4 linked regions of the Arabidopsis thaliana genome follow. The protein of the gene in region 4 interacts with the protein of the main gene of each other region in a pairwise test. Each region holds a gene or a part of one and is shown on either strand. Other genes may lie near its edges.

The links.
Region 1: the proteins of WRKY60 (region 4) and HSFC1 interact in binary tests that used the Arabidopsis thaliana proteins (3 or more experiments, as listed by UniProt).
Region 2: the proteins of WRKY60 (region 4) and AHP2 interact in binary tests that used the Arabidopsis thaliana proteins (3 or more experiments, as listed by UniProt).
Region 3: the proteins of WRKY60 (region 4) and AT5G52650 interact in binary tests that used the Arabidopsis thaliana proteins (3 or more experiments, as listed by UniProt).

The regions. Positions count from the first base shown.
Region 1 is NC_003074.8:8,939,341-8,943,435, forward strand, and holds HSFC1 (heat shock transcription factor C1), read left to right. Parts: upstream 1-1,725; 5' UTR 1,726-2,114; coding exon 2,115-2,342; intron 2,343-2,371; exon of another isoform or gene 2,372-2,426; coding exon 2,427-3,191; 3' UTR 3,192-3,534; downstream 3,535-4,095. UniProt on the Arabidopsis thaliana protein: Transcriptional regulator that specifically binds DNA sequence 5'-AGAAnnTTCT-3' known as heat shock promoter elements (HSE).
Region 2 is NC_003074.8:11,263,577-11,267,280, forward strand, and holds AHP2 (histidine-containing phosphotransmitter 2), read right to left. Parts: upstream 1,987-3,704; 5' UTR 1,833-1,986; coding exon 1,767-1,832; intron 1,548-1,766; coding exon 1,417-1,547; intron 1,337-1,416; coding exon 1,265-1,336; intron 1,182-1,264; coding exon 1,110-1,181; coding exon of another isoform or gene 1,106-1,109; exon of another isoform or gene 1,055-1,105; intron 1,042-1,054; coding exon 969-1,041; intron 860-968; coding exon 803-859; 3' UTR 550-802; downstream 1-549. UniProt on the Arabidopsis thaliana protein: Functions as a two-component phosphorelay mediators between cytokinin sensor histidine kinases and response regulator (B-type ARRs). Plays an important role in propagating cytokinin signal transduction through the multistep His-to-Asp phosphorelay.
Region 3 is NC_003076.8:21,354,989-21,359,214, forward strand, and holds AT5G52650 (RNA binding Plectin/S10 domain-containing protein), read right to left. Parts: upstream 2,232-4,226; 5' UTR 2,016-2,231; coding exon 2,013-2,015; intron 1,899-2,012; coding exon 1,850-1,898; intron 1,652-1,849; coding exon 1,372-1,651; intron 1,278-1,371; coding exon 1,145-1,277; intron 868-1,144; coding exon 793-867; 3' UTR 553-792; downstream 1-552. Other genes in the region: HSP90.1 (heat shock-like protein), read left to right, coding at 1-159; AT5G52655 (uncharacterized protein), read left to right, coding at 2,818-2,820, 2,904-2,985, 3,074-3,237.
Region 4 is NC_003071.7:10,627,662-10,631,971, reverse strand, and holds WRKY60 (WRKY DNA-binding protein 60), read right to left. Parts: upstream 2,311-4,310; 5' UTR 2,161-2,310; coding exon 2,104-2,160; exon of another isoform or gene 2,010-2,103; coding exon 1,947-2,009; exon of another isoform or gene 1,743-1,946; coding exon 1,434-1,742; intron 1,351-1,433; coding exon 1,234-1,350; intron 1,147-1,233; coding exon 877-1,146; 3' UTR 559-876; downstream 1-558. Other genes in the region: AT2G25010 (Aminotransferase-like, plant mobile domain family protein), read right to left, coding at 1-121, 198-281; AT2G24990 (Serine/threonine-protein kinase Rio1), read right to left, coding at 3,673-4,056, 4,148-4,219, 4,300-4,310. UniProt on the Arabidopsis thaliana protein: Transcription factor. Interacts specifically with the W box (5'-(T)TGAC[CT]-3'), a frequently occurring elicitor-responsive cis-acting element.

The sequences.
Region 1 (4,095 bases), on a different chromosome or scaffold from region 4:
GTATAATGAATAAACTTTCCATAAATACAAAAATACTCGATTAGTGGAGTGTGCATCGCCAACAAAAAAGATTCTACGCAACGTGTCGAATCAGTACTTGTTCCTGAGTTCCTCCGTCACTAACCAGTGCGGACCATGTCAGTATCCAAGCACCCACACGCTCGTCGTCTCTTGAAAACATCTCACACAAATACACAACGGCTCGGACTAATAACTTGCCATCTAAGAAAAGCTAATTGACCTAAGGCTTTGTGGCACCTGCATGTAAAAAGCAAACACGAATTTGCCACGTTATTACAAAGCATACCACGTCACCGTCTCACTGTTACACTATCTCTTGTTCTCCTTTATTTCGCTATGGACAACAAAAATTATAAGGTGGGGAAGAGATGTCTCAAAATACTTTTTTATCGTCCTCTCAATTTATGTAACTGATAATAATCGAAATAGATAAATTTAATTGTAGGTTGACAAAGCGCTAATTTTAATAAAAACATATATTAGTTTGGAAAATTTTGTCGTAGTAAGTAATTAAACCTATCAATCTTGACTAATAATTTCAAGTATCCCATAAAAATCAAAATTGTCCTTAGGTTTTGAAATTGTACTACTGATAGTACGTAATTAAACAAACAAAAGCTATAGCTTGTGGATTATAGCTAATCCCATTTGGCGATGAGAGTAATATATATATTGTTCAAATAAAGTTGTAATTAAGATTCGATTGAAAAGGTAAATTATAGTTTAAGAAAAACAAAGAGAGGAGACAACAATTAAAAAAATGAAAAGTGGAGAACTGTACTCTCGCCTATACGAGGAGGTCATTATCTCCAAGGCTCTCAAGGATTAAGGACCATGCTTTGATTCTATAAATGTTGTTTTATTCAAACTATTTATATTATTATATCATACGTAATATGTGGTTAGCATTTGACCCACGTCCCCTTAATTAAGTCTAGATTAATCCCATTAATCTATCCAATTAATAATTAGGAAAATTTTATATAAGATTGCTATTGGATTTCTCGGTGGTGGTTTAAACTATAAAATAGTAATGCCTTTGATGCGTGTGATTTTTTATTGGAACTTATTGGTTTTAATTCTTAACCTAGCAATTATATTTGTAGTAGTTTATGTTAATCATTGTTTAATAATACTCCTATAATAACTCTTGCAAGTAGCAACACTTGTGTGGCTATTTATTCCAGAGTCCATGGATATGTATGTATAAGAAAATAGGAGTGCTTTTGCAGATTGAAGAGTTTGTCTATAAAATCATGTTTACTTGGCATTTAGTGTTATTGTTTGCAATTTTTTATTTTAAATTAGTCGGATATTTTAAGTTAAAATCTGAATACACAGCATGTTCCTTCTAACGTTTTTTAACATAATTGTAAACTAAAGAAAAATTATAATATAATAAATTAAATTATACCCTCTCTATTCATTGTAGAAGATTTGTTTGTTTCACCAAATGTGTTTTTTTTTTATAAGTTGCTCTCACTCTTGAGAGTTTTGGAGTATTTTGAAGAGGACGAGGTTCTTTTGTGAAAAAGTGAAAGAAACAAATCATGTCAAGAATTAGAAAGAAATCATGACAAATAATTTTGTTTGTGCAGAAATTACAAATGAATCATAGATATCCTTCTAATTCGGGATCGGAAACCAGTTGAAAAATCGATGGACTAAGCTTTCTATATTGGGACTAGCTTACCCTTAGAATTAGTCAAGCAGCTTAAATCATCTATGACTTAAAATTATAATTAAGAAAAAACAATGCCTAAATATGCATATATTTCAAATGTATCACATAACTTGTGACATAAGAAAATATAAACAAAACAAAAAGGGCAAAAAAGACCTGAAAGCTTAGAGGCACACCTGCATAGGTCCCACAGTTCACTCGTGACACCGTAAAAGGCAAAACACGAACCCGCCACGTTATCACAAAAAGCAAGCCACGTCAATATAGTCTCACTGTCAACTACACTTAACTTACTATTTTCACATCTCATTTTCCTATCTTTATATAAACCCTCCAGGCTCCTCTTTAATTTCTTTACCACCACCAACAACAAACATATAAACCATAAGGAAAACAGAGAAAGAGAGAGATGGAGGACGACAATAGTAACAACAACAACAACAACAACGTGATCGCACCTTTCATCGTGAAAACATATCAGATGGTCAATGATCCTTCCACCGATTGGCTCATCACTTGGGGACCTGCTCACAACAGTTTCATAGTCGTTGATCCACTCGACTTCTCGCAACGAATCTTACCTGCTTATTTCAAACACAACAATTTCAGCAGTTTTGTTCGTCAACTCAACACCTATGTAAGTTAATTCATAACCGAAACTCATACATGAAACTGGAAACAGGGGATTACGAACTAATGATCCTTTCTTTATTTACTTTAGGGGTTTAGGAAAGTGGATCCGGACCGGTGGGAGTTTGCGAACGAGCATTTTCTAAGGGGACAGAAGCATTTGTTGAATAACATAGCGCGTAGGAAACACGCGCGGGGGATGTACGGTCAAGATTTGGAGGACGGTGAGATTGTGAGGGAGATCGAACGGTTAAAAGAAGAGCAGAGGGAGCTAGAGGCAGAGATTCAGAGGATGAACCGGAGGATCGAAGCGACGGAGAAGAGACCGGAGCAGATGATGGCGTTTCTTTACAAAGTCGTTGAAGATCCTGATCTTCTTCCAAGAATGATGCTCGAGAAAGAACGGACAAAGCAACAACAACAAGTTTCCGACAAGAAGAAGCGTCGTGTCACGATGTCGACGGTGAAGTCAGAGGAAGAAGAAGTGGAAGAAGATGAAGGGAGGGTCTTTAGGGTTATGTCATCATCAACACCGTCGCCGTCATCAACGGAGAATCTTTACCGGAATCATTCACCGGATGGGTGGATTGTTCCTATGACGCAAGGACAGTTTGGTAGTTACGAGACGGGTTTGGTGGCGAAGTCGATGCTCTCGAATTCAACGTCGTCGACGTCATCATCTTTGACGTCGACGTTTTCTTTGCCGGAGAGTGTTAACGGAGGAGGAGGAGGAGGATGTGGGAGTATTCAGGGAGAAAGAAGGTATAAAGAAACGGCGACGTTTGGAGGAGTGGTAGAGTCAAATCCACCAACAACACCGCCTTATCCATTTTCTCTGTTTCGAGGTGGCTTTTAGCGTTTAGCTTCACATGATATATGATCTTTAGACTTTATTATTGTTATATTATTATTATTATTTATTTTTTGTGTGTTTGTTCTTAATTATTTTATGTATAACCAAAAGAAAGAAAGAAAATAAGGACAGATCCATAGTTGAGTCAGTAGTCATCGTTTGTAGAAAGTTTTGACAGTATATAATTTCTGATTATATTTGTTAAAAGTTCATATGTTGACTTTGTTTTCCTTTTAAAAGTACTTTCAGGTGACTTGTGTAATATATTCACACTTGTAATAACAACAATTTTGATCTTCTTCACTACTTCAGTGTTTTGATTTTTGAATAAAGTATTATTGTAGCCTTATATCTTTGTAATAACAACAAAATATAGGCTTTACTTTTTCCACTTTAAGCTAGTAATTAAGTCTATATACCATTTCAAATTTATCGTTAATGGCCATCTTTAAACTAAACCATATCGAGTATTTGACTCTTTCTCTTGAAACACTTGTTCTCAAACACATTAACGAATCAGTTGACATGGTATATAGACTTACTAGCTTATATAACCCACATGCTTAAAGCTGATCATAAAGTAGAAGAAACATTGCCTATATATAACCCACGTGGTTAAGGCGACACAAGTCGGTCGACTGATAACAAGTCAACGAGACATCCATTCAAGATTCAAACGTATCATCAACACGACGCTCCACTTTCACTTTCATCTAAAATTGATAACATGACATTGTTAAATTTTGAGACGTGACAGTTAGCCACGGGACTTTGGTCGGCCAACAACGTTTCGAACACTCATTGGGCTAGAGAGAGAGAGAGTATAAAACAACGATAAATCTAAATTGGACCACCTGATGTCTCTCACACGAGGACGCGTGGTTATACCAGATAATCGCAAAATCTC
Region 2 (3,704 bases), on a different chromosome or scaffold from region 4:
CTTCTTTTTCGAATTCAAAGTAATATTTCGTCTTAAGGTCGATTGACGACATCGAAAAAAAGAATTTGTGTCTCAATTTGCTTAGTCAACAAGAATTTGTGATTAATTTGAAAGTCAACATAAAATTAAAGATTTAATTCACCAGATCCAAAGTTCATGATTTAAACCAACGAAAATGGTAAAGTGATGATTTAAATGACATTTTCCCCGTTTATTAACTACATGCTCCGTAATCTCGTCGAAAGCGGTTTGTGATTTATCCTGAAAGAATTACCATATTTTCTTAGAATGTCCATTTCGGATATCGAATGGGTAATGGTTTAGATTTAGGTTTTAGGGTTTACGATATTCATATTCTGATAAGGAGACAGGTTGTAAAAATTTGGAAAGTCACTACCAAACTTTTACTAATTTGAGTAAAGGTCAACTTCGAGACAAATAATTCAGATAATTACGAAAACATTATGGGCAAATTTGGGAAACTAAAAGATCTAAACACACAATTTTTAGAAGCACCCACTAGTCAAGACTTACTTAGTAATCACTATATCTTACTCAAACCAAACCTTTCAGAAGCAAACCAATATATATTATCATCACATTCATTAGTCCAATGGTTTCAATTTTCTCGGATGAGATCAAACAATACATACTACTGATTTATAAACAACCATCACTTGTTTTTGTTTCTTTTTGCACATATTTTATTGAGTTTTTGAGCAAACACCAAATCCAAAATAATTTAGAAGAGAAACTAAAGAAAGAAAGTCATCATCTTTTTTCTTCTTATGGACTAGTCTCTTTAGTTAATATCCACTTGAGGAACTATACCACCAGCTTGAATGATCTGTTTCTCAAGCTGAAACAACAACAACAACAACAATGTCAATGATTTGTTCATTACTCATAACCAAAATGATTCATTAAAAGCAGAGCCAAAAACAGAGATGGATTCTATTCACACTCACATTGAACATATCTTGAAGCTTTGTCTTTAACGCCTTGTACTCAATATCCACTTGCTGCAAACATCTCACACACCTGTAACATAACATGAGACTATTATTACTCAACCAATGAGTCCCAAGAGAAAACCATAACTCGCTTACCCTTCGTAGTTCTTAGCTTCACAACATTCCTTGAAGCTAACACACAAAGTTTTGACCCTCTTGGCACCAACACTACATAGAAACAACACAAAGCTTTTCATCAATCAACAACACACAACTTCTGCTACTTATATAAAGCGAGACATGATACATACCTTGAGCTACTACCCTTCAATTGATGCACACTAGCACCTACCTGACTAAAATCTACAGTTCCTGTCGTGTCCCTGAAATAGAAGTAGCCACAATCACACTTTAAGACAACACAAGCAATGATGATCTAGCTGAGAGAATATCAAAAACTTACAAAGCTCTAGCCATGTTACTGATAAGCTTCACACAATCTTCAAAGAAAAGTGAAAGCACTTCAGACACAAAATCAGGACTTCCATCATCTTGTAGCTTTTTCAACTCAGTAAATTGATCATCCAAAAACCCCTTCACATAAAAAAAACACAAACCCATGAATCTAAAGTTCCAACCTTTACACAACTCAAATCCCTAAAAATCATAACTTGTAAAAATCTACATAAAGATTCAATCTTTCTTCACTTTTGTCATGAATCTATGCATATAGGAGTCAATCTAGTGTGTATATGAGCTAAATTAGCTAAGCAAAGAGATGAAATTGGGTTTGAAGAATTGTGGAATTGAAACCTGTTGGTAGAGAGAAATGGTGTAATCACGAAATTGTCTCTGAAGCTGAGCAATGAGAGCGTCCATGAGAAGAGTGAAGCGGAGATTGGGAGAGGATTTTTTTGTTTGGACTTTGATTATTGACTTGGATTTCTGGAAATAGCCAATCCCAAGAAGAAGAAACTTGTGTTTTGTCTTTCTCGCGAATTGTAACGCTGCTACCAGATTTTTTTACTTTAAATGGGAAACAATAATTAAAAGAGAAACACACAAATATTTGGACATTTTTATGTATTTATTTATTTGGGTGAAAAAAATTAAATAGAGAATTTTCATAATTAACATAATTTTAAAGTTTTTTTTGATAAAAATACCATTCAAAAGTTTTGTGAACATAAATAACACTCAAATAATTATTTAATTTTTAATTATTACAACTAACATTTAAAAAAATACAAAAATTCATACCAAAAATTTTCAACAATATTTTTCTACAAAATAATTTCCGTCAAAATTTTTCCACCAAAAATAATTACGCCGCCCACATTTTACCTACAAAAAAAAATTCAGAATTTTTTTTACAAAATATAGGAAAGATTTTAAGCAATTCAGGAAAGGTTTCACGAAATTTATAATTTTTTTCTTTTGTAACCCTTCCTGAATTTTGTAGAATTTTTCCTGAATTCCCGAATTTTTCTTTTTCGAAATTCAGGAAGAATTTTACGAAAATTTTTTTTGTAAAATCTTTCCTGAATTCCGTGAAATCCTCACGAATGTCGTAGTTAGCTTCCTCAAGTTTTTTTACAAGAAAAATTTGACGGAAAATTTTTTTTGCGGGAAAATTTATTACCGAATTGTTTTGGCAGAAAATTTGACGAAAAATTTTTAGCGGAAAATTTTTATTTTTATTTATTTAAATAAAATTAATTATTTATATTTAATATTTAATTAAAATTTTGAAAGCTACTTGTGAAATTTTTCAAAAAGTTGTTATTTTTGGAAGAAAAAATTTTGTTGGTGCTATTTTTGTCAATCCCAATTAAATATTTTTTTTTTGGGAAACATTTGGATTCAATACAAGTTTTTAAGTAAATTATTGGTATTTGGTTAATTAATAAAAACTCTTTTTCTGAAAAATATAATATGAAACACTCATTTAATAATATTAAATCTAATTTAATTTTCTTATATAAAAGAAAAATATCAATCTTATGTTTCGATTTACTTGGAAAAATTAAAGTATTTGACATTATATTTTCTTTTCAAAGACCCAAAAAAAAAAAAAAAAAATTGCAACTTATTATTTCGATATTTTTAAATTACAATTAGACTAACCATTTAAAAGAAAATTTTGTGTATAAGATTTTTAATATTATTCACATATAGTTTTTTATGGTATCAGAGCTATATGTGATATGGTAAACTATTCACATTACAGATTGGAATACTCACCCAAGTTATGTAGCCAACTTCGGTGTGCGTACCTAAAAGGTTAATATGTGGTCACTAGTACTGTAAGGAATGCCTCTACGAATGGATTTATGCATATTTACTTAAACAAAAAATACCAATCGCAATGAGAGACATACAAAAACATAAAGCTTTAAATATGGAATCGTTAGGTGTCACTCAGAAATCAGAATCTCCAACCTGGAAACTTTTACAAGATGCGTTTGGTTCCTAATCCACCAGAGAAGAGATATCATGTGATTCTCTATGAACAATGTGCAAATATTCTTCCGAGTCAACTCTCGCAGACAAAGCTCAATAAGTGGCAAAACTTTCAACGATTAACTACAAAGTACAAACACATTTTACTCCAATATAAACCAATATTTATTTAGTTTCTAAGGAAACAACAAAATTGAAGCGACATTGTCGAATACAAGTCCTCTTCGACCAAAAAAATATGAAAGTAATACCAAAAAAAACAAAACACACACCAGAGAACATAACAAA
Region 3 (4,226 bases), on a different chromosome or scaffold from region 4:
TTCAGTCTTGATGAACCGAACACTTTTGCTGCTAGGATTCACAGGATGTTGAAGTTGGGTCTGAGTATTGATGAGGATGAGAACGTTGAGGAAGATGGTGATATGCCTGAGTTGGAGGAGGACGCTGCTGAAGAGAGCAAGATGGAGGAAGTCGACTAAGAGATGAAGAAATTGCTCTTATGGTTCTGAAAACTTCTAATATGTCGAGTTGTTCTGAGTTTTAAGATTTTCCAAAATGTCTTTGTCTTTTTTTTTATATCTTTAGAGTTACTTGAACATTGTGACTACTTCTAGGGTTGGGTTTGTGTCAGGTCTGTTATATCGTGTGGTGGGTCTGTCTAATACTGATTCAAGTTTTTGTTATTCAGCTAAGGAACTTTTCTTGTTTCTGAACAAATCTTTTGGTTCCCTAGAGTAAAACTTGACTTCCAAAAGATAGACTTCCTAAGATCACTGGAATAGATAGGAGTGACAACTTGACGTGAAAGGTAGCTTGGCTATAGTAATTTTAGATCTGACAAAACGAGATCAAGAAGTTAATAATTTTCACAACACCAATTTGTTATCGCTTAAAGGTTGATTGATTTGTTCAATAGGGGGAATCATATTCTCGCATGCTCGAAAAGGGGAGAGAAGATGGAATGAACATAACTTTAAATCGGATGTTTGATTCAACAACAAAACTAAACTCAGATAGAGATTATGAAGGATTCCGGAATCTGAATTACAAAAGCAAAATTTAAAGCTGAAAACTCCTCCATGGTCTTACTGTCACCTAAAGACATTTCTTTTTCAAGGCAAACCTGAACCAGATGGTGCAGCTGCGCTGTAGCCACCAGCACCACGGCCAAAACCACGGCCACTTCCCTGATAAACAAGAAAGGATGTTAGAACAATGGCAACCAAACAAAGAGAAGGCGGGTAAATCAAATCACAAGGCAATTATATAACTATAGACTTTGAAACACTTCACAGCTAAAGTAAAAGATTTATGTTCCTTGTAACTAAAGTGATAAAGAGAGACTAAATATGTTCATGGTTTCTCAGGTTCAGGAGCTCTATGATAAAGACTTCAAGAGTAGCACATTATATGACGTTGGTGAGATAGAGAAGTAAATAGAAGGTATGGTCAGTGAGAATTTACTTGGAAAGATGGCTGGTAATCTGCGGGAGCTCCACCCTTTTCACCTCCAAACTCACCACCAGCTCGAGGACCTGCACGGTACCCATCACGGTCACCAAACCTGGGACGGTCTCCTCCTTCATGGCGAGGTCCTCTGAAATACAAAGAAACCCAAACCATGTCAAACAAATTAAAAAAAAAAAAAGTTTTTGCCAGACATGAAATGGGTTAAGCAAAGAGTTAATCACCTTGAGCGATCACCAGGTGGGCCACCAAATGGACGACCACCAGGCTTAGCTGACTTCTTCAAAGTAGCAGGAACAACATCAGATGGAAGATTAAGATAAGTTCTCAAGAACTCGATCCCTTCATTGGTCAAAAACCAATAGTAATGCATCCAGGCAAATGTCTCCCTAACATACTCCTTGGATTTGAAACTCTGCATAAGCTTAATCACTTGTAGGTTGGGGACATCGATCAACGGATGCTTAGCAAGATTGAAATCCTTCTTCGCAAAGCAAACTCCTTCTGCAAAAATCATAGAACATATGATAATCAACACAATGTTCACCTTCTAAGCCAAACATCATAATTGCTACCATAACTAGTTAACCTAAACTAGTTCAAAAATCACAATGTTCATCGGCATAAGCCTAAAAATGAATCAATTTACTCACAGAAGCTGAAGAAAACAGAGATCTAAGAACAAATTTAAGAAGAACGAACCTTTGAAGAGGTACTTGCAGATTTCTTTGCGGTTAGCCTCTGAGATAATCTGAGAGCAAGAAGGAAGAAGAAAATGGTCAAAATTCAACGAAACAACATTCTGAGACACCGGAGAATATGATGAGAATAGAGAAATAGATCAAAAGCAGAGCTTGTGTGTTACCATTGTATCGGTAGGAGATCTTGCTCGAGCAGAGAGTCGCACGGAACTTCGAGAGAGCAAAAAACTAGGGTTTTCGCAGGACTAGAGAAGACGATGACTTTATATGCTTTGTTTTGGGCCTATAATGAGTTCATTAAATATGGGCCTTAAGTTTGGGCAGTATCGGAGACTGAGAAACTCAAAATGATCTTGTCGAATTGAATTAAGAATTGGGGGTTTATCAAATTATTTGATGATAACTATATTTAATATTTTATTAACCAATACTTACACTCGTTGTATTTATATTTACGATGGTTTATCCTCTCTTTTTTGAAAAGTTTATATCTTGTAAATTTTGTGACATACGTTTAAATATTATTTACTATAACTTTGATTTTTTTTTTTTTTTTACTATAACTTTGATTACTTTATATATTTTTATCAGATTAGTTAATTCTATAAATTAACATATATTTTTATTAATTACATATATTATCTTGTTAAAATAATTTCCAGTTTAATTAATTTATTTGCTCCATATTGTAACAAAAAAATCTTTGAGAGATAAATGTATTTTTGTGTTGTTTCAACAAAAAAAAAAAGAAGATAAATCTATTTTTGTGTCAAAAATTTGTTATGAGAAATTGTGACATATGTCGAAAGAGATTGTGAAATTGAGAGATAAATGTACTTTTATAGATTATTTAACAAAAAAAATCAATTTTCAGTAATATATATAGAGGTTGATGAGCAAGCGAGTTTGTAATCACATTCTTGTCCATCATCTTCTCTTCTCCTTCCAAACTTTTGAGTTTTTCAAAAAATGGTTAGTTATTTTTCTTAGTAAACCTATTTATGTGGTTATATAATAAATTCACTAAAGCTTTAGTTTTATTTCATTGTTTGTAGTCGATGACGATTGTATTCAAGCATCCAGGATATCCCGAAAAAAAATGGCGAAAAGGATTCAAAATTGCAGGTGGTTTTCCAGGTACAAACCTACACACACCCAACAATTATATTCAACAAACGAATTTTGAACAATGTGAATGATTGTCATCTTTTTATTATTATATTAGGAGTTGATGTCATAAGTTGTGGTATCATGGACGACGTATTTGCAGTGAAGGGAGAAAATATTGATCAAGATAAGTTACTGGAGAAAATAAAAAAGGTTTTAAAATCTGTCGAAATCATTGATCACACCAAATACCCTCCGGATTATTTTTTCTATGATTTCTAATAATGATGTTTATTTTTCTTTGGGCAAATAATGATGTTCATTTATGTTTTCATATTCTATCAAAGTAATTGGATTTGGTGTAAGTCTTAAGATATATTAGTCCATTCTTATAAGTTGTAAGTTATAAACTTTTTGTTCAAGAAGATTGATTTTCCTTGGATGCATAGTCGAGAGTATGCCACTAAAAATAGCTTAACCATATTGGTCTACACTGTCACCTTATTTCTTCCTCTATAAACGAATTAAAACGAAAGCATACAACGCTATTATGAGATTTGATTTGGTCTCCCATCAAAGAGACAGATACATACTTTAACAAAAGCTCAAAACAAATTTGAGAGAGGGAATGGTATATGATTACAATTCTTGTTTAAAATATGATTAATAACTTCTTCTAGAAAATGTTTTATATGCAAACCAGTCAAACCATCATTTGATTTACATCTATTTAGAAATGTATTTATCTATTTCATCACTAAGAATGTGTTTTATCACCACCTCCAAAATGTGTTTACAAACAAATGAAGCCAACTACAAATTATTGATCTTGAAATCTGTCGAAATCATTGATCACACTGAATACCCTGCAAATTATTTTTTTTATGATCTCTAATAATGATGTTTATTTTTATTTTTTACTTTTATTTTTCTGAGGCAAGTAATGATGTTTATTTATGTTTTCATATTCTATAAAAAAAATAATTGGATTTGGTGTAAGTCTTAAGATATGATCAAATTAAAATATATATTAGTCCATTCTTTATAAGTTATAACCTTTTGATCAAGAAGATTTGATATTCCTTGGATGCATCTTTTCTTATAGTCGAGAGTATGCCACTAAAAATAGTTTATCCATATTGTTATACAAATGGTCACAGTCACCTTATTTCTTCCTCTATAAACGAATGAAAACGAAAGCAAAGACAACTCTATTAAGAGATTTTGGTCTCCCATCAAAGAGACTGATACATATGTTTAAACTTGAGATC
Region 4 (4,310 bases):
TTGGACCGATTTTGCGAAAGTAACCGAAACCAGCTTTGTCCACGAGGTTAATTTGTTCATCAGTGAGTTTCCATTGATGTAGCAATGAAGTGTGTTCTTGACAACGAAGTAGACCTCGTTCCTAAGGTAAGTAAGGGGAAATAAGATTAACCCTAAATTCAAAATCTGAAATTTAGCAAGGGAATTAAGAAAAAAACCTGTCCTTCCCAAACAGCAGAAGAAACATGGAGGTCTTGCTCGTATAGGACAGATGGATCAACTGGTCCGACATCAATATCCATGTCGATAACTTACTCAAAATCAGCGAAAACTAAGATTACATAAACAAATTTTTGTCAAATTCTCAAAACACGAAACTTTTGATTCTTCAATTTGGGACTAAACACAGATGAAGAAGAAGAAGAAGTTGGGATTGGAAGCTAACCGTAACCTAATTTGGACTCGGTTCATAATTTTTCTTCTTGGCTTTTTATAGCTGTACCGGTTATTTTGGTTTGGTTCTCTTAAACCGACTCTGTTTTTCGTGGTTTTACTCTGTTTCCGGGTTTCTCTGTTTCTTTTATGTCTGTAATGGCATCACATTCTTCTCTAATGGAAGTTAATACAAACAACTGAACAAGATAACATTGGAAGATACATAAACTGTCGAAGCAGCGTCAATCTACCATACTTACACCGAGCTATAACAAAACTCTTTCAACATAAGATAAAATGGGGGTGACCCTTTTTGGATACTTAGATTTGATGTAATTATATACACACACATTAAAATTGACATCTATGCCTCCTAATCAAGATCAAACAAATCTTTACCTTTTTACTAGGAATGAGCAACAAAATAGAACAAAACAGAAATATACATGTTCTAGAGAACTTTCATGTTCTTGAATGCTCTATCAATCTCCCGGAAATAGCAGTCGCAAGAGCTGCAGTGAACTTAGGATCTTTGGTCAACGAAGAAGCCATTTGTTGCACCAAAACCTCTTGAATCGTCCCTCTCTCTTTCTTTTCCTCAACTGGTTCAAGCCCACCTTGAACTAGATCAAGTTTCACTGTCCTGGACACACTTGCATGTGGTCCGGTGTGGTTATGTGTCCCTTCGTAAGTGGCTACCAAGAAAGATGGATCTTCTGCACTTCGTTGCACCTAAACAAGCGCACACACAACTAGGGAATTTAATCAGACAGCAAGATGATATCGAAGAACTCTTTAACAAAGTTTAAACCAAAGTACCTTCTTCTTGACTAGACAAGACGGTGAAAACGAGCATCTGAAGTAAGCTCTAGGAGATGGATTATCTCTCGTAATCTTTTGCCCGTATTTCCTCCATTGATATCCATCTTTCACAGTCTACAAGTAACGTATATCCACAAAACATTCGTTAACAAATCAATACACTCAAAGAACGATACTTGTAGTAGAAATCTCCTTACCAAGCTTGTGTCAGACTTCTCAGCAGCAAAGTAAGCGGTTGAAACCGTCGCTTTATCGTTGGTGATGTTCTCGATTGGTCCGAGACTGAGTCCAATTGGGGAGCTAACAAACTCATCAAGTTCTTGTTTTCGTTTCCCCGTTAGCTGTTTGTTCTGAAAGTTAACACTTTCAGGACTCTTTCGACTCTGCAACTCCTCCATAAGATTATTAAGAGCATAGTACTTCTCACAGACTCTTGCTAACATTTCGGTTAGCTTCTTGTTCTCCGAATTAACCCGGTTTATTTCATCTTGTAGCATATTTCTCTTCTGTGTAAAATGAAAATCACCATTACCAAACTAAGCTGTAAGACAAAGCTTTGATTTGTTCAACTTTTGAGCATCACCGATCTAAACAAACTATTCAATGTCTAAATCAGATATGAGAACTTGATCAACCTAATCCATTCACTCATAGTCAAAAATTTTGAGGTCAAAGTATTGCACACCAAAGTGTTCGATGAAAGAACTAACCTCATCTTTCACTAACCATTTCTTCTCTACAACTTTAGAAGCTGAAGCCGAGACTTCTCTTTTCTAAATCAGGCAATAAAATATATATGAACACCACGAATAATCACCACAACCTCGAAAATTGAAGTGAAATTTTCGAAGAAATTGAAAAACTCACCGGAAGTTTACCGGAGAAATGAAGGTCGAACGGATTGGTGTTGGGATCATAGTCCATAAATTTAGGTTCACAGGAGCCAATTTAATGTAACGTGAGATTATAGCGAAGACCAAATTCATAATTGCTAAGAGATTTGGTCTCCTTTGGTTTTATAGTAACTAGTAAGTGGAGAGAGTGTAATAACTTGTCAATTATGAGAAGGTTGACGATTTGGGTGGAAAATGAGGGTCTCCTTTCTAATTCTAAAAAAATTATTATAAATCTTTTACAATTCTTGTAAATTCTCATAAACTTTCTTTAAAACCTTTAAAAGTTTTTAAAACTCTTTGTAAAATCGTTTTAAAACTTTTATTAAATCTTTTAAAAACTTTTGTAAAATTTTTATAAAATCTTTTGTAAATCATTTTAAAAACATTTATAAAATCCTTGTGTGTAATTCTAATTGTGCCAAAATTATAATGTGTATTATGCATATGATAGTGATTGAACATAGAAACAAAAATATTGGAAAAAAACAATACTAATGAAATGTGTAAACAAAAATTGCAAGAAAACTATTTAATTTAATACGTATTGACAAAAAGCAAGTTGTGTTTAATACGTTGGATTAAATTTGTTGGCTTGCATCGTAAATACTAAATGCGTGTCCTAAAAAATTAAAAAGGTTAGGTGTTAAATCGTAGTCGAATTGTTATGTTTTGTTGTAATCGGAGAAAACAAGTGTAAAGATGGATCAAAAATCAACAATTTCGGCGGATGTCCCATGTCGAAGAAAAATGAGTACTTTACATTAAGTTGCATTGTAAGATCCAGACCAACTTTCGCTTGACTTGACCCATTGACTATGCCCTGGAGGTTGGCATGTTTAATTTTGTCTCATATTTTTGTTTACTTAATCCTACCTACATTTAGTTGCATTAGTTAATTATGTCAGCTAGGCAAAATAAGATTTCGTTTCCCTTTTTTTTATGTTCATTAAGTTTGAAAGAAAATCATTATTTTTTGTTTTGTCATCTTTTTTATTAATATTATAAAATAAAAATATATTTTCCGATCTTACAAAACCGGCAGAAAACAAAGATATCTTCGAAAACATAGTTTAAAAGAGATAATCAAAGCTCCAAAAGAAAGAGAAAACACGTATTAAGATATAAACTATGGAAACAGAGGCTTAAGAAGAAAAGCTCATAAACACTAAACTGTATAAAATCAAGAACTCATTAAACAAAGAAAAAATGTTGTAAATAAACTAGTTGCAGGATTAGAATTTTCATACTATAAGCCAACAATCTCAAAACTTGAGTTGATAAATTTAGACACAACCATTATTCGAATTGTCAAGTTGGTTAGGGATGTGAGGAAAGGAACAGAAATTTGAATCCTATTCTTGAAACAGCAGCAAACCAATTTCGGGCTCTATAATAAAGTCATACTATGAATATTACAAGAACTTGCTATTTTTGGAAATATAGAGAGCTTTGGGTCCATACTCGATTTCCCAGAATTTGACACAAAATTTCAAAATATAAATAAAAATACAAGTTGGGGTGTCAAAACTTCTAACTCGGATTAACGAGTCTTGTGTGGTTTAGAGACTTTCTTCTTTCGCTTCTTGACAGATTTGGGTGTCTTCGTCTTCCTAGACTCTCGTTTCTCCTCTTTCACTTTCTTCTTGTGCTCTTTCCTTGCAGCTTTCTTGTCTTCATGACCCAATTCTTCTTCACTCTCTTCTTCCTCACTTCCTTCTTCACTTTCTCCGTCTTCTTCTTCCTCTCCTTCCTCTTCTTTCTCTTCATCATTCACCTCTATTTTCTGCTCTTCTATTTTAGGAAGAGCATCCTTAAGCCCCGTTATCGTTTGGTATAGCATGTCTCCTGTGTCCTGCCCGCTTGTTATCTTAGCCACGTCAGCCTCAGGGTTGTTCACAGCATCCAGAGATTTCGGTATGTATGACTGAACATCAATAACAAACCAGTAAGATTAAGATTATTCTACAGACAACTTCACATATCAGTTCACACAACTGGATACACTCTTAACTAACCTTCATGAATACTGAATCCGCGATTTCATCCTCTACGGATATCTCTCCTCGCTCTATAACTTTTCGTTGGACCTGCCCATTGTTACATAATTCATTAATTTAAAGCTGCCCACTGATTCAATGGACAATCCATATAAAAAGTCATACATTACCTCTTCCAAAT